Schizosaccharomyces pombe: one gene and its partners. Changing the gene in region 1 together with any one later gene gives a genetic interaction. Each region holds a gene or a part of one and is shown in the gene's direction. Other genes may lie near its edges. The genes, in order: cce1, def1, cbp8 and are2.

Region 1 (3,047 bases):
TATCAATGGCCCAGTTGTAATAGTCAGTCGAATAGTTAATTGAATAAACTACTTTAGATCTACATGCGCAATAAGTTTTAAGTTTGGGGTTTTTACTGAACATTTTTCATCCCCAACAACGGTTCATATATTGAAACAATAGTGCGTCAGACAATTCGCAATTTTTTTTTTCTAAAAACAGTATATTCTCTACTTTTCAGTCAGTTAATATATTCCGGAACAAAGTCATATTCTTCTTAAAACTTATTCATACTAGTGCTGCTTGTGTAAAAAAAGAATCAAATACAAAACATGTTACTTGACAGATCCTCTATAATAGAATATGGAAACGAAATAGAAATGAGAATGATTGAAGTTCAAGCTTAAAGTCAGTAATAGATTTGCTTTTTGCATAAGAAAAAAATCAGTGGAAAACGCTTTGAAATCCTTAAAGCATTTTTTGTATTTGCGTAAGACATTGTCTGCTATATGCTTTCAGAGGAGTTTTAGAAATCCAATAGCAGAAATTCATCATTAATGTTAAAGGTAGCTGAATACAAATTAAACAGCGTTAAAATCAAAATCCGATAAACCTTCACGTTCATTCCGTGGTTACATTTGTAGTTCATTTTTGTCAACCATCGCCGTTCTATATACTTGCTAACTATAGTACAATGTGTGCCATCAAAACTTTGAAAATTTAATCCTAATAGTTTAAAACAAATGTTACAGTTTAAGTATTTCAATGTCCAAGACTTCAAATATGGAGTTTTACCTAACTTGCATAGAAACTCGGTATTATAATAAAAGACAATGACGGATTCGGGGTATTAAATGAAGACTTCAGCTGTATAAAAGCTTTTCTGTTATATATCTTAAATTTTGTGGATTCCAAATTAGCTTTCAAATACAAACTGTGCCATTTTACACAACCTCGATCATTCATAAAACAATAATAAACTTGCTCACTTACAAACAAGTCTTAAGAATTGATTTAAGTCAATGTCTGATTGCAAACATATTAACAATCTGTGATAAATTTCTTTTGCCATGTATTTCTAACTTTAGGTTGATGAGTTCAAACCTCCTATGAATCGACGTATATCGTTGTTGATATTTCACATAAACTTGGACTCGCCAATCTTTGTTCATATTTTAATGCTTATTTATTCAGATAATTCCCAGGTGACTAGCAGTTTGAACTAAGCAAGACGTTGTCAACGACTTCAAACATCGCAAGCTTATGGAATAAAAGAAAAAAAATTACATGTTTCTACTCGTAAGTGAAATAAAAATTCCCGGACTCCCATTTACCAATCCTTCGTTTTTTGTATTACCATATACTATCTTTCACGTTTGCATCTAGCATCTAAAACTGTTCACTTCTAAAAACAATTCATTTTAAGAGAAATAATCATTTTTTCTTATTTGAATAAACTCAATTCTTACTGCCTCGTTTCCTTGTTTTTGCAAAAAAAAAAAACATAATCATTGCTATAGGTTTACAACTTCATATCCGTTTCTTTATGTCAATTTATTCTTTTTTACAGAATGGCTACTGTGAAACTTAGTTTTTTACAGCACATCTGTAAGTTAACTGGATTGTCAAGAAGTGGAAGAAAGGATGAGTTGCTTCGAAGAATTGTTGACTCTCCTATTTATCCCACCTCTCGGGTACTTGGTATTGACTTGGGAATCAAAAATTTCTCTTACTGCTTTGCAAGTCAAAATGAAGATTCTAAAGTTATTATCCACAATTGGTCTGTTGAAAATCTAACTGAAAAAAATGGGCTTGATATACAATGGACCGAAGACTTCCAGCCTAGCTCCATGGCTGATCTTTCAATACAACTGTTTAATACATTACACGAAAAATTCAATCCGCATGTCATTCTTATGGAACGCCAGCGTTATCGTTCCGGTATTGCTACGATTCCAGAGTGGACGCTACGAGTAAATATGCTTGAAAGCATGCTGTATGCGTTACACTACGCAGAAAAAAGAAATTCAATCGAACAGAAAATACAATATCCTTTCCTTCTTTCTCTGTCCCCAAAATCTACATACTCGTATTGGGCATCAGTTTTGAATACGAAAGCATCTTTTTCAAAGAAGAAGAGTAGAGTACAAATGGTCAAGGAATTAATAGATGGTCAAAAAATCCTATTTGAAAATGAAGAAGCTCTGTATAAATGGAACAACGGTTCTAGGGTTGAATTTAAAAAGGACGATATGGCAGATTCTGCTTTGATTGCAAGCGGTTGGATGAGATGGCAAGCCCAACTGAAGCATTATAGAAACTTTTGCAAACAGTTTCTGAAACAATAGAAATGAACGATTGCCGTACGAATGTTTAGCCAATTTGTATATTGTAGTTTTATTCAAAGAAAAACTATCGTATATTGCATTTCATGATCCTATAAAAAAGGAAGAAATTAAACTAAATTCATAAAATTAATAATGATAACAAAAGGAATGCAGGCACATGTATCAAAGATCTTCTTTGAGCATTATTCTAAACTTCAACGATGAAAAATAACAAAACATAAAGAACATGAAATGAATTTTTTAAAAAAAATAAGAATGATGACAAACAAAAAAAGGTAATAAGGCCTTAAAAATAGCAACCCGACCTTGCTCATTTCAAAAACCCAAGTTTATATCCTCTATATTTCATGCATACAAAAGCACCAATAACAGCACCGAAAAATGAAATTTTTTATAATAAATTTGTATGAAACGGCTTTGAAGACGTAAAGAAAAAAGTAGAACTTGCAGTGAAGCCACAAAAGTCATAAGAGGACCATGATAGCGTCTGAGATCCTTTAAAAAAAACATAAAAAAACGCAACTCGTGATTGTTTAGTTCCCCAACAGAGTAAACCCTGGATAACACGCATTTACACAAGATTTAATCCCTAAAGTAAAGAAAGACGAGAAAAAATTAGTAGTATAAACACGTGGAAAACACACACACCTTTTGGAAATTGGTACATGATAGCTTTCAGGGAAAATTTAATATAATAAGCAATAGACCGTTTATACAAGGAAGAAAAGTAAACGAACCTA
Region 2 (5,908 bases), on another chromosome or scaffold:
AAACAACACAAAATATGCTGGATTGTAAATACTCAGTTTAAACACATATGAGAACTTAAAGTAAGATATCTTTATTATCAATTTATTTTATTAGCTTCACATGAAGGAATATAAATTACATTTATTTCAAAACCTGATTAATACTTGTTCGCAGCTTTAGGTATGTGTATAAATTTATTAAATATGCTTAGTAACTGTCTACGGCCACACCTAGGCGAAAACACCAGTTCCCGTCCGATCACTGCAGTTAAGCGTCTGAGGGCCTCGTTAGTACTATGGTTGGAGACAACATGGGAATCCGGGGTGCTGTAGGCTCCTTTCTTTTTTTTTCGGAATATTATTTTATTCTTACAATGTTAACGGCTTCACTGAATTTTTTATGCTGCTTTGTTGATGATACTGTAAAAAATAGTGACAAATAAAGATTTTGAAATATATCAAACCTATCTGTAAACATTTGAGAACAATTCTAGCGTACGAATTAACTTGTCCATATCTTGTTGTCATACGAATGCACTGTTTATTGTTCATCGTTGACAGTTTTCAATGTAAAATCAATTTTTTATTTGAGAAAATGGTTTCTAATGTGCCGCTTTTGTTAAAAAATTATAGTGCAACAATAGATAGATATGCTATTCCTTGAAATGTGGGTTTCTTTTCATTACTCTTTACAGTTTTCTGTTATGTTGTCGTTTTGAAAATGGACTCTTCACAAGAAGAGAGTATTGACTTTAGCAATTTAAACATAGAATCTTAGCACGTTTGATTTTATTATTTTATAATTAGTTAGTCATTTGAATTGCCAAAAATGGTGACTTAATTTTGGTTACTAACAATTGAATAAAAAAATAAAATAAAAATAAAAAGAAGAAAAATCAATATAAATTGCGAGATGATACTACTAAAGTTCACAGCAATTTTTTTTAAAAAACAACGAAAATTTGTAAAAAATGACAAAATTAAAGATGAAATAGTAAAATAATGCGAACGCTTCATCAAACCATTTGACACATTAGTTATAAGCATTGACAGAAACTTTGATAATAATGCTTTTAGAATTTATCTTAATATAACTAGGCGATTATTCAGCTGTACAATTTAGTTTTTTTGAATAAATTATAATGTTATTTTATCAATATTCTATGTTTTTATAACTCTACAATTAAATAGATATATGCTTTTTAATAGAGCATTCTAACAAGCTTTGGTGGTTTAGTGGTATAATGAATCGTTGCCATCGATTCGACCCGGGTTCGATTCCCGGCCAAAGCAATGTTTCTTGTTTTTATTGTTAATTTAATATTAGCAGGCTTCATATTTATTTTTTTAGATAAAGGGCATCACGTTTATAAGTGTGGTTCACTTGAACCCAACAAAGTGAATGAAGAGCTTCGAATGTTACTGAAGCCGCGTAATTAGAACGGATGGATTATTACTTGAAGCAGTAATTAAAGTTTTCATAAATTGACCAACTGAATACCCGATATTGCATTGCAAATTTCTAAACATACCAACGTGTTAGGAATCTGTAATAGCAAAGCATGGAACGAAAGGTGTTTAGTCAACTTGAATTTAGCTAAACGAATTGCACATCTTTTAACAGTATCGAAGAAATTGGGCAATAGAAAAGTTAATACAATGAGCTCTACTTTCATCATATTTTCATGTATTCAGGCAAGCAGCTAACTAGCTATTGTCTTAAGAGCAATAAAGATACACAACGGTAAATCGTTAAATACAATAGTAAACTGCACTCCACTACTATATAAATCAAGCTTTTAGAAAAGGTAATCGCAAAAATGAAGAAAAAGTAAAGTAAAATTTAAACAATAACATTGTTCTTTATAACGTTATAAGTTTTTCTATGTATAAAAATTTCAAGGAAAGCTATAGTTTGCACTTTAGCGCATTCACTACCACCTTGCTCTGGTATAGGCAATTTCCATTTAAGCAAAAGCACTATGCTGCACGACACCAAAACGCAGCCAGAACCACTACCCTTAAATAACACGAAAAATCTTGCATATCGTCTTGAAGCACGAATACACGTGCCTTGTCGATTTTCAAGACCTGTATTAATTTTTGTAAAGAAAAGTAGAATCAAAAATGAGTGAGAATAAAAAGTTTCGGCCAAAGAAGGTCGGAAATACCGAACAAGTTTCAGAAAAGCAACACACAGATACAGCGTTAAATATATCGCAAGATAATAAAACTTCATCCTCTTCCGCCAAGAGAGGAGCGAAGGGAAGGCGAGGCACCAAAGGAAAATCTGGCCCGGCAAATTCGTCTCAGACTAGTAATATAGAGGGATCAAATGCGCTTGAGCTCGAATTTGATCGTGATTCGCAGTTAAGCGTATTGCAAGAGCTGTTTCCTAGCTGGACGATTGATGATTTAAGTTTTGCTTTAGAAGAAGCGGACCGGGATTTGGAACTGACCATATTGCATATTACTGAAGGTCACGCCTCCAAATGGGGTGAAGTTAAAAAGAAGCCAATCCCTAAAACAAAGTCCAAACCAACAAGTCATGCTCCAGTTTCCGATAATGTCTCTTCCACCTTTCGTAATGCTACACGTAAATCAAAGAAACCTTCCGCTTCTAAGGATACTTCTCGGGGGGTTCGAAAATCAAAAGCAGGAGCTCCCTCAGATCCTTCTTCCGTTCATGCACCATCCTCTTTAGAAAAGCCTGCTGGTACTGGCGATCTTCCTTCCTCAGAAATTTCTACCAAAGCTCCTGCATCAACGACAGTGTCTTCTTCCGTTGATCCTGGTACTATTAATGAAGATTCCTCAATGAAAGATCATACTACATCTAATGAACAAGCTTCAGTTTTAACATCGGCTAATACCGCTGCTTCAACAAATACGAACGGCACCGCAGGCGGTACTTCGGCCTCAGCAAAGTCGACCAGTGCGGCTGATCAGGCTGTTGCATCTTCAAAGCCTATAAAGAAGGCTTGGGCTTCAGTTGCAAAGTCGAAGAAAAAGGTCACTCCCGCTCCCGCTCCCGCTCCCGAATCCGAACCTTCTAAACCCTCTATCGCTCCTTCTCAACCCTCTAAAACTAATGTTTCCGCTGCTTACGAAAAACCTGCTGAACTGTCATCCTCATCTGTTCCTTTCCCTCACAAATCCCAGGACTCTGCAACTCCCGCAAATGTTGAAACGACCCCCTCCACAGCTACCTCAGCTCCCAAAAAGAGTACTGCCCCATTTGCCATAAATGCAGTCAAGCCCGCTCCTGGGCTTTCCAACATCTCTTCTGCTTCCCTACCTAAGCCCTCCTTTGCGAAGCAAGCCGCTGTTGGCTCTCAAAGCTCTACAACTAGTATGACTACTGCTCGATTACTTTCTGATAGATTCCCCGTCGTTATGCCTGTTGCTAATACTGCTGCTATTCCCGAAAAGGTTCAAGTGCGTTTCGGAAGCTTGACACTTGGGGGTGAGGACAAAAAATCGACAAAGTCTTCTTCAGACAACATAGCACAGTCTGGACCAAGAAGTTCCTATTTTCCTAAAAAGACAGTTTCACCAAAGCCAGAGGCAAAAAAAGAGGCGAGCAAAGTTGCTGAATCCACCAAAATCCCAAAGAAACAACACACTTCAGCATATGAAAGCCGTGCTCCACAATCGAAGGTTCCCGAAAACTTGAAGGAATCTCATGTTAACGAGACACCATATCGTGGTTTACACGATGTAAATTTACCGGCCAGTGGAAACGCCTCTTCTGTCTCGGCCATCCCTCCTCAAGTATCAGCCCAAACGACTATACCCGCTGCATCCACAAGTGCTACAAGTGGCCCGGTGGTTGGTAAACAAAGTGCCGGATATGGCGGTATTTATTCTCCTGCTACACATGGAATTTCCCCTCAACCATATGCTGGTGCTAGTCTTATTCCTCCGTCTACCGGAGCTGCTTTTAACAACGAAACTGCATCTTCAAATGCTGGGGAGACAACTGCACTTCCATATTCTTCTAGATTTATGAATCCTGTGGAAAACCGCTCCGCCAATAGCCCATTCGACAATTTTCAACACATCGACCATAGTACTGAATTGGGATATGCTTCAAATACTTCTCAACAATATCAACAGACTAGTCATCCAGCATACACTACTATGTCTCCTATTGAATATGGTCAAGCTGCACCAGCAGCTCATTACTATAATGAGCGTAATCAATACTCACAATATGATAATGTCGCTGGTAGTGCGTCGAATACACCAGATGTGCACTCGGTAATGCATAACAAGGTTGCATCTTCTAATGCTACTTCTCTACCTGCTGCTGGAACAGCGACTCCTAGCCCTGTTGTTTCTCAACAACAGCCCCAACCTTATGCATTTCCTCCAATGTATCCTATTCCTTATGTGTCTTATGGATACGGTACGATGCCTTACAATAATAACAAGTTTGGACAGCCCCAGCAAGGATACATGTCTCAGAGCGGCTTTAATGATTTCCCTCCCATCTTTGGTGGACACAGCAACGTGTACAACAGACAACAGCCTGGCAATGTAAGTGGTATGAGTGGAACACAAACTAGCAACCCAATTAATAATGCCACTGCAAATACTAGCGGCATGACTGAGAAAGCGGCTGGACATCGTGACTCTGTGATTGGAAATGGAGGCGTAACCGGGGCGAACAGCATGTCAAGTACTTTGGGTGGTTTGTCTTCCATGTCAGGGATGGGACGTGCGGCTCCTGGTATGTTTATGGGTAATGTTGGAAGTTTTGAAAACCTTAGTGCCAATGCGGCCTCTCCTTATGGCTTACCTCCTCAACAAACGCCATTGACCAATGCTGCTACTCAGCAGACAACCTCTTTTCAAAGCAATGCTAACAAGGTCAACAATGCAAACAGCCAACCCGCTGGGTTTCCGTTCAACTCTGGAGCATCTACCAATGCAGGTAGTAATGGATTAGGAGGCTATAATGCATACAACCAGTCATTTATAAACCGACCAGGAGGTTGGTACGGTAATGCTTAAATTGAACTTATGATCAAAAAGTTTGATAACGTAGAAGTTGGAAAATGCTTTTTATAAGGATTCAAAAATAGGCTAAAAATAATTGCGGACAAGATGCTATTAATGGAAGGGTAAAATCGATTTTATTGGGACAATCGAATTTATGAAGTTTTTCAATATATATATGTGTGTGATTTATATGGCTATGTGGTCACATGTGTTTTCTGTTTGATAGTGCTTAATTATGTAGTTTGAAATGTTGCTTGTTCATATCATAACATATCATACCACGCCGTAATGTTGCCATTATATGGTAATTCCTTGTATGTTCATAGAGTATTTTTTTATTGCATTATTAAAACAAACTGGCGTTTTGGAAGAGGGAAAGGGTAAATAAAGATTTGATGTTAAGGTATTTGTAGGTGTGGGTAAGCAATGCGAAGTGGGATAACTAGTTTCAAGTAATGATTATTATATTTCCAAAAGTCAAGTGCTAATGAAACACGTTTAATCAGTTGGCAATTTAGGGGGGTGGTTCACTCGGCATTCCTATTTTAAACAATTTTTGACGGCAAATGTTAAGCGAATTCGCTAAAGCAAAGTGTAAAAAAAAAAAAGCTTCGCTAGTAATATATGCCACACTTCAGTCAACAACACTACGTCAACCCTATACGCTAAGTCTACTGAATAGAAAAACTTGATACTTTTATTTACATTGAAATGAAGAGCAAATTTGTATAATACGTATTATTGATTCTAGAAATATAGCAAATTGAAACATCCAAATTTAGCAAAACAGCATGTCGCTGTTGTAAAATTCTCATGAAAAAATAGAATGTCTAACCTTCACTACTGGCAAGATTCGTTCATGTAGATGTAGTTGAAGAAGAGACAGTGTCATACACAAACGTAGAAAAAGTTCTGAAAAGGA
Region 3 (4,507 bases), 1.9 Mb from region 1:
GGAATTTGTATTTGTCATCCATTCTCCCCAATGAATCTAAAACGGGTAATGAATCACCTGAAAAGAAATTTTCTTCTCCTGTGTTGTTGCAAAGGGCCAAAGTGATTCCTTTGAGACTTGAATATGAAGAAAGAAAGCTTCTTCATTTACTTACTGCTGCATTGGATGTGAGTGATTATACCGACAGCGTTGATACCCTAAGCTTTTCGTCGCCAGCGAAAAGACTGGCTCAGCAATTGAAAGGAATTACTGCAGTTTTGTCGGGTATCATGGTTGCTTATGATTATAAAGTTGGACAAGAATTGCTTGAGCATAAAAATTTTGAACAACATGCCGAATTTTTTAAAAAGATTTTTGAAATAGGTCGACGTTATAAAGTGCTAAATCCCAACCGACTGGGGTCTACTTATGGGAAATTGATGTACTTTGTGCAAGATTCTATGCGACCAGAAATTCAAGACGCACTTGGATTTAACCTCTTTAAACCCATTTTGACTGTCTATGAATTTTTGAATGAAAGGGATGCTTTGAACGCATTAGAAGATCCTTATGCCGAAATTGCTACTATGGAAATAGTCGCTGAAAATAGATCACGCTCAGCGATTCAAAAAGATATTAAAGCGAAAGAAAGAGCTGTTGAACATATTGCAAAAAAGTATTACAGCAGCAAAATTACAAAAGAGAAAGTACGATGGTGTCTCTACTCTATTGCTGATAGTAACAGTTACTTGAGATATAATCGTGATCCAATTGCCAAACTCATAGGCTTGGTAGAAGCATATTTTTCTCCAGATACCGTGGACGATGAGTTTACTCTTGCTATTGATGCCATTAATGGCTCAAGACTAAAGCATAGTCATTACAAACAGTACCATTATGTTGTGCAAAGTTTGCATCTTTGGCTTTTAATTATGGGAGAAATATTTTCATTATGGGCTCTTAGTGATCTGGAGTTAACTAACCCAGATATGGAGTATAAGCTAATTGATAACAATCAAGGAATACACAGAATGCAGCCTTGTCCCAACATTAGAATTGCGATGGAAAGGATTTTGCGGACGGCTCAAGAACAGTCTGAAACATGGATAGGAAGTTCAACAATCCATCTCGGAGATACCGCTGTTCCAAATGCCTTATTGTTTATAGACAAGTATATGCAAGTGCCAAGGATTTTAACACCCTTGGTTCTATTGTTCAAGGAGTTAGATTCTTTAAATGACCATTCTCTTCTTAACTACATTGATACAGCTTTTGGAGGCAGAGAATATTTAAAAAAGACTATTTTAACCGATTTTATGAGATTCGGATTTGATGGATCTGGTGCAGACAATTGGTTTGATGTAAGTTAAAATTATCTATCTATATATATATCTGTTTAATTACTAACTAGCTCTAGGCTGGCAGTTGTATTGATGGACGTTTGACTAGTGCCTGGAATTGGGCAAACAACATACACACAAAAGATTACTATCGTGTACTTCTCATGTCCGGATTTCTTAGCTTCAATGGTGAGTAATTATTTAGTAATGGATTAAAATACAATCTTTTAAGCATCAGTTATTTTATTATTGCAAAAATGTATATAAATTCTCGACGTGTAATAGGCTCCCACCAACAACTGCCAACATCAGGAAATCTTATTACGTTTCGCGTAAATTGTTCAAAAGATTGACATAAATACACGTACCAAAAACCTTTATTTACTTTATTTTATTGAAGTTGGTTGTATTTAGAGATACTTTGATCGGTTTATACTTAGAATACTTTGGAGATTAATTTGATAAAGGATTAAACCTAGGATGCGTTTATGTTGAAAACCCTTAGCAAAGTGTCAAAAAACTTGTCAAATACAAGTGCTTTTCTTGTCAAGTCGAAACCCTTATACATTTCTTTTTGCACTTGCAAAGCGTACTTTGAAGACAATACTTCATTAAGCAGACGGTTTTTCTCTGCAAAAAAAAGTTTACAATTCAAATCTTTAATAAGAAAGTATTCTGAAGACTCTACCTTGGCCTGGAGAGATTATGAAAACTATAATGATGATGACCTGCTATATCAACGTGAGTTATCAGAAATATATAACAAATGTCTGAAAGCTCTGCATCCGTTTTACCCAGTTTTTGAGGTTAATAGTAACTTGTATTATCAGTTGCTAATGTTTACGAATTATTCAAATCCGAAAGATAATGGTTTTTCAAAATTGCTTTTCTCACAATATTCTGACGAAAAAAAGGTACTGGTAAATTTCGTATATAATGTGCTTCGTTTAGATCCGGATTTGCAAAGGCAAAAGCGAATTCTGGAGAGCATTATTTCAGCTGCCTTGAATATTTGCGTATCTACTGTAAATTTGAGTAGAACTGACTTAAAATCTTCTTTAAAAATAATTTTGCAAACAATTGATCTGTTTAAATATGACAGTTCATTCTCTTCTATATATTTTCGAAAAGATGGACCGTACCACAAAGTTGAAAAACTGCTGAAAAGCGCTAATATTCGCTCTTCACTTAATTCAAAAACTTTTAATGATTTCCGCACACTTTTCTTGCTTCTCATTAGAGATTACAGTCTTTTCCATGGAAATTCGAGCCATTGCATGTTAGCTAATTCTATGCTACCACCGTCTATTGCTTTTTCGAAGATGGAGAAGGCTGAAATTTTTTTACGTTTACGTGCGTTTTTTCAGCTTATGGAGCATATTGATAATGAAAGGATAACTCCATCTGAACAGTTTCTGGATAAAGTCTTTATATCTCTCCTTTCGGCTAAAAATAGCTGCTCTCTTAAAATGTGGCTCATTCACTCATTTAATAAGGGATGGCCGGTAAAAATTGAGTTTTTTGTTTCTTTTTTCAAAAATTTTTCCAATATAGTAGAAGGCTCTATGGAGGTCTATTCCGCATATTTACATATTATACGAGATCACTACAATTTATCTGATTTGGCTGACGTACAAGCAATTTTTCTTTCTCGTTTTATTTTATTAAGAAAGAAAGAAGATTGCAAAAAACTACTGGAGCATGTTTTACCTATTCGTCAGCTTTTTTTGTTAAATTGCTATAGCCTGCTAAATGTACTCGCTAATTACGTTGTCGTCTTTAAAGATCGTTTAATTTTTCAAGAAATAAATCAAAATTGGGAAGAGCATAAAGGCCAAATTCCGGAAAATTTTATTTTCTCTCTTTTGAAGATGTTTGGTGAAATGCAAGAGAATCAAGGTTTTTTGAATGCCTGTATTTATTATATAAACAAAAAGAAAAATTTAAACGAAGTTAGTCGTTATAAGATTAATTTATTATTACTACAAGGTGTGAATTCCTTCGAAGTAAAAGACTTTTACAGAAAACGAGGAATCGAAATAATGCCAAAAAACCTGCCCAGATTTTTTTGTTATTGTTTAAAAAAAAATAAATTAAGTTATGCTTTAAAGTATATACGGTTATCTGGGCTTCAGTTTGATTACATTGTTGATTGTTTCCGTAATAGCAGCGACTGGACCAGAACTCTGATTTCGATATTGAGCAAAAAAATGGGAACTGAATTCGCAATTCGTTTTTTAAAGATAATTTCTTTTCCTTTGTTATCAAATGACAAAGTTCTCCGAGAGATCGAATTTTTTGCCATTCACGAGGTAAATTTTAGAAGTCTCAAATGGGTTGCAGATCAACAATTGCGAATTCTCCCAGGATGGAGTTCTCGCCCCCAAAAAGCAACATTTCCTTTATGTACAGTTCATTTAAAAAAGTGATAATTCTCGATAGTGCTGCTTCCAATCTACATCGTGCTTGGTGCTTGATACATTTAAACGCATTGTTTGATAATTAATATATTCATTGGTATCAAGTTGTACTTTACGAGGTATGCAGCCAACAATAGATTATTTACATTAACATTGAGAGACTTAATAAAGCAGCACATTTAAAAATGAGATCGACATTAGAATCAAAACCCGTATAATAATAAGCAGTATTTCCAACTATTTTCCTAACAAATCTGATGCCATCTATATTATCACTACGTACTGAACACTTCTATGTCGCAAAGAAAAAGTGCGGTTAAAACTTTTTGTTGTAGATAAAAGACAAAATTTGAAAGAAACAAAAAACTTAAACTGCCCAAATTTTTATAGCAATCCATTTTCTTTCCCACGTTGATTAATAATGCATATATCCACTGGAATGGTTAGGGCTTCTATATCTAATACTTTAGTAACATTAACCATCGAAGGAAACAATGATCGATACCAAGTCATACTTGATAAAAACGTAAATGCAAAACAGTTTGTTAAAACGTGTTGGAGAAACAAAAAACCATTGTAAGATTGTTATTGACGACAAGAAACTAAACTATTAGAATTGTAAAAGAAGGAAAAATATTTGTAGACAAAGGATTCCCTTTTGATCCATGCAGAACATTTTTGGAAGCACTTTACGAAAAATATTCATATTCAAGTCCCCTACCTTCCTCTGTTGAATTTAAAAGTGGAAAACAGGTAGAATTCTGTGGT
Region 4 (4,790 bases), on another chromosome or scaffold:
GTTTTCTCAATATATAAACTTTCCAAATCCGGTTCTTTTTGAATTACTCTAAGTGCACAGAGAACAGCCTTCTTTGATATATAATTATGATGGTTAGAGCAAAGTTCGGCTATGTCGTTTGACAAATCCCTTGCAAGCTCAGGGCCAGCGACATTACCAAACGCAGATAATGCCAACCCCACAATAAATTTGTCTCTAGATTTCAAGTCATTTTGAAGAGAATTTGTCAATAACGTCAAAACTTCCTGGTTCTCGTCTAACAGAAGCATAGCTGCTAGGTATCCCAAACGTTTATCCATGAATCGCGAACTCGACAACAATTTTAAACATTCAATCTGACCAAAGTGTGTCGGCTCACCGAGTAGAAATAAATATAGCAGCTTGGCAACATTTTTTCTGCGCATACGCATGTCATTAGAACCTTGACGAATGTTTTTTCTGATTTGAGCCGACTCTTTGAGAATCGTTGTGTGCTCCTCAGCAGTCGTTTTGGATGCCCGAACAGCCTTTATAAAAGATTTTAAACTTGACATCTTTGGATGCGTCTTTGGGGAATTGGTGAAACCTCTTTCCACTCCCGAACAAGTAAGATGCAGGTTCTTTGGATGTGTTGTTTGCATTACTTGGCTGTTGCTTGTACATGCGGTAGGGTATTGCACGGTAAATTTCTTTAAAACGAATTTAACGTTGCGACTCTTTCGTCAATCTATCAATAATGAATACTAAAAAATATGCTTTAAATAAAATAAATTTTAATTTGTTTTGTTGCTGCTGTGTTACGTTAAGTCAGCTGAAGTGTCTTTTTTTATAATTCCTAGTTTTTATTAAGCAGATGTAAATACCATTTATATTGATTAACTTAATATTATGTTACCACTTATTGCAAGTACATTTAAGAAGGTGTACTATGGCTAAGAGTTGAATATTTTTTAGGTATGGTTTTTGTGCTTTTCAGTAATCATATTACGTTTAATACACATTCCCTTATTAGAGGTTCTTAATAAAATCCATGTGCAATACTAAAGTTATCTTTCCATCCGTACCAATATTCACTGAGATATTTTACGTTCCTACTATAATTGATTCCAGTAAATATTAACTTGCATTTCTATGAGATGTATTGAAAGCAAACAGAAAAACGCAATCTAAACACAGAATATATAAAACAATGAAAATCAAATCAATTTCACTTAACAAAATAGGATGCAGCTTTAAACGACGCTCAAAACTGATGCATTCACCAATACTGCACAAATTAAAAGAATACCTAGCTTCCTTTGGTTATCTGTGTAATTTTTGAATTATCCTATCGAATTTGCTATATGGAGTTGTTAATTGATGGGCAATATCTGGAATTTATGTTTCTCTATTCGTTCTTGACCACGCTATGTGGCTTTGCTTCTTAACTATGCAGTTTGTAACCAGTTTTAATGGCACGTTAAATCACAGTGAGTTGTATTTGTGCACTACTATATTGCGATATGCAGGTAACGCGAAAATCGGGTATTAAGGTGTTATTGTAAATTATTATTGAAATGCTCATAATATGTAAACTAAGGGAAAAAGGTTCGATTGAGCATTCTTTTTTGTTTGTACCTGTCAGTCATTTGGTAATAAGCTACAATAAGCAAGTGCCAATGTCGTATCACATATAGCGGATAAATGAATAGGACATGTGATATATAGTGATACGTAACGAAATTTTACATAACGTGGTGTAGTATTGCAGATATTGCTGAGATCAGGTGGTTCATCGTCTTAGCTCGCAATTCTAACTTATCAACTCCTTTGCTCATTTTGAAACTGGAGACTTGGCTTTTCCTTACATAAATCGCATAGAACGTGAATTGCTTAGGAGTTCGAGCTTTTTATTTACTTCCATTCTATAGTGGAACATTTGGCATAGAATTTTTATTTTTGGAATCACGACTGTGGAGTTTTCGTCATACCAGTTCTGTCATCTTGAAATTCCAAGTTGGAACTTCCATCAATAGATTACATTTCTAAGTTTCTTGCTTTCATTCCTCAATTTTTTATTTAGAAGCGAAGCAAAAAATAAATTTAATCTTCCTACGTTCATATCCGCTTCTTTTTCAATTTCTTTGATACTGTTCGCGATACGTAGCTGCTGATTTTACGTTATTTTTTTGTTTTATCTTTTTCTTTATATATTTATCTTTTTTGTTATATATTCACTTAGTTGCTTTAATTGCTGGTTATTTAAAGATGATTGCTGCAACACCCGCTAAATCCAAACCATCGGATGTCAACTTGGAACAGACGTTCAAAGGTGTTTCTGAAACCTCAAAAATTGACCTTCGAAGGTCTAGGGCCGCTTACCGACCTCTGGAATTATCTCCTACTCCCTCGATTTTTGCTCGTAATTATCAACGTAATGCGGTAGACTTTACTGGATTTTTTGTGTTATTTTGGGTTGCTGTCTCTATTATGATTTTCATGAGCTTTTTAGAAAATTTCGAATTGACTGGAAGACCAGTTGTTGGCACTATTTTTAAATACTTTCAGTCTAATTTGTTAGATCTGGCAAAGGCAGACCTTGCTATGTCTTCAATGTTTCTACTTGCTTTTCCTTTCCAAAAGATTTTTGCTTTGGGATATCTGCGGTGGTATGGTTTAGGCGTTTACCTCTATTCCATTCTTATTTTACTTTTTTTAAGCCATTGTGTTTTACGCTGCTGTCTTAGCAACTGGTCCTGGACGCATCGTGCTATGTTTATTCTTCATTCTATGGTAATCCTTATGAAGCTTCATTCCTATAACGTTGTCAACGGTTGGTATTCTTATTGTTATCATTCGTTAAATAAGCTTCAGTCAAAAAAAACCGATCTTGATGATGATGAACGATCCTCAGTTGAGTTTTATGAACATTGTCTCAACCATCATGGTAATACTTATCCGGAAAATTTAACCATACCAAATGCTTTGGATTTCCTTTTCATGCCCAGCTTATGTTATCAATTATACTACCCAAGAACCGCCCATGTGCGAATTCATTATTTGATTGAATGCGCTTTGGGAACGTTTGGTTGTATCTTTCTTTTGGTCATTATTTCTGATCATTTCATGGTTCCTGTACTTGCTAAAGCCATTCGAACCATTATTGAAGCTCCTGAAGACGCATCTGCTACTTATTTTGCTATACGTTTAGGCCATACTGTAGCATTTTTGATGTTCCCATTTATGCTTAGCTTCCTCCTCGTGTTCTGGGTCATTTTTGAAGGAGTTTGTAATTTCAGCGCAGAGATTACTAGATTTGCCGATAGAAACTTTTATGATGATTGGTGGAATTGCTGGACTTGGGATCAATTTGCCCGAACCTGGAATAAGCCCGTTCATTACTTTCTCCTTCGCCACGTTTATGTTCCCCTCAACTCTTTCATGTCAAAGTCTTTATCGACTTTTTTCACGTTCTTTGTCTCCTCTGTATTACATGAACTTGTTATGGGATGTATCACTTTAAAAATCCGCGGTTACGGTTTGTTTTTTCAAATGACTCAAATCCCGTATATCATTATTCAGCGACAGAAGTTTGTTCGAAGACATAGACTGCTGGGAAATATTGCGTTTTGGTTTTCTATCATAATTGGTATCGCTCTTATTGCAGCTCTTTATATCTTATTTTAGAAGCGATAGGGGTCTCCATTATGAATAATTACCTCTTAGATTTTTTTTACAATGCGTTATTTTTTCTAGTGACTATTTCTATCTTTGACACTTTTTGTGGCTCATTTCATCTGCCCAATAAGGGCTCCTTTATGACATTTTATGAATTGTTTTGTAATGCAAGTAGGAAATGCCATTTCTATTTGAACACGTCAAAAGGCTGCAGAGTAATTTTGGTAAAACTTAGTTTTTGTGCCTCTGTGGAACTTCCGTTTCATTTTGTGTCGGTTCATTTGCTTGTTTATGATAAAATGGAATCCTGATTAAATTAACGAATTAAAGAAATGGGTTTAAAACATTTTTTTCGTTGAAAATTATGTTAACCGATTTGTTGTTTACTTAAGATTTTTAACATTCACAGATGTTCGTTTAATTTTTAGCCAGATGATTGCTTTGATTAATAAGTTTCCTCATCTCGTATTTTCATTAACATAACCATCACTGTTATTAATCGAATTAATGTGTCTAATCGTCAGTGGTTAGGATATTCGATTTATTCAGTTTTCCCATTCTTAATAAATGTACTTTTCTGTCTTGCACAATAAAATTATTATAGCAAGAAACCTAGATAACGCAACCCAATGTGCAATAGCACTGTACAGTAAATTGCCTATAAGCAGGGGTAGATATTTTTACCACTGGAATCCCAACTCACCAAGAACCCATATCTTGTAGTTCGAAGTTTGATTCGGAAAAACCTCTTGTGTATTTCAAGGTGCTCTTTCTCAAAACGAAATCGCAAGGGTATCGTTTGGGTGCAATACGGGATGATGGTAATAGAGAACCCTTTTTTAAGTACTGCTACAAGCAGTCAGACACCTCAAGAGGATGGCGTGTACACGTCTTCCCTGCACAACAGTAACAATCCTTTTTTAGCTCCCAAGACAGAGCGTGTGGCTGATCCGGTCATGGAATCTATGGCAGATGACTTGGTATGTAAATTTTTGAGGCTGAAGTAGATATAATTCGGTCATTGCTTCGTTACGTGAAGATTTGTTAAATTTATTGAAACCTTTCCAAATTAGTGTTCTATTAAGAGTTTTTAAGTTTCTAATTTAAAGCGCTCATAACGTACATTTTATTTAGACAAGGAGTTTCTTCGGTTT

Evidence for each region.
Region 2: mutations in cce1 (region 1) and def1 together harm fitness less than expected from each alone (positive genetic interaction), as found in Schizosaccharomyces pombe (one large-scale study listed by BioGRID).
Region 3: mutations in cce1 (region 1) and cbp8 together harm fitness more than expected from each alone (negative genetic interaction), as found in Schizosaccharomyces pombe (one large-scale study listed by BioGRID).
Region 4: mutations in cce1 (region 1) and are2 together harm fitness more than expected from each alone (negative genetic interaction), as found in Schizosaccharomyces pombe (one large-scale study listed by BioGRID).

What each region holds. Positions count from the first base shown.
Region 1 is NC_003424.3:4,296,389-4,299,435, reverse strand, and holds cce1 (cruciform cutting endonuclease Cce1), read left to right. Parts: upstream 1-1,530; coding exon 1,531-2,307; 3' UTR 2,308-2,500; downstream 2,501-3,047. UniProt on the Schizosaccharomyces pombe protein: Capable of resolving Holliday junctions. Specific for 4-way junctions. Seems to be important for the maintenance of mitochondrial DNA. Cleaves fixed junctions at the point of strand exchange. Cleaves after 5'-CT-3' and 5'-TT-3' sequences.
Region 2 is NC_003423.3:568,955-574,862, forward strand, and holds def1 (RNAPII degradation factor Def1), read left to right. Parts: upstream 1-1,983; 5' UTR 1,984-2,106; coding exon 2,107-4,998; 3' UTR 4,999-5,366; downstream 5,367-5,908.
Region 3 is NC_003424.3:2,385,926-2,390,432, forward strand, and holds cbp8 (protein Cbp8), read left to right. Parts: upstream 1-1,610; 5' UTR 1,611-1,807; coding exon 1,808-3,748; 3' UTR 3,749-3,984; downstream 3,985-4,507. Other genes in the region: SPOM_SPAC22H10.08 (uncharacterized protein), read left to right, coding at 1-1,340, 1,397-1,516; alp21 (tubulin-specific chaperone cofactor E), read left to right, coding at 4,161-4,315, 4,354-4,507. UniProt on the Schizosaccharomyces pombe protein: Translation factor for cob1/cytochrome b; plays a role in cob1 mRNA stabilization and required for correct folding of the protein.
Region 4 is NC_003421.2:2,397,810-2,402,599, reverse strand, and holds are2 (acyl-coA-sterol acyltransferase Are2), read left to right. Parts: upstream 1-1,781; 5' UTR 1,782-2,226; coding exon 2,227-3,645; 3' UTR 3,646-4,261; downstream 4,262-4,790. Other genes in the region: AP-1 adaptor complex gamma subunit Apl4, read right to left, coding at 1-533; protein Pal1, read left to right, coding at 4,452-4,616. UniProt on the Schizosaccharomyces pombe protein: Sterol O-acyltransferase that catalyzes the formation of stery esters.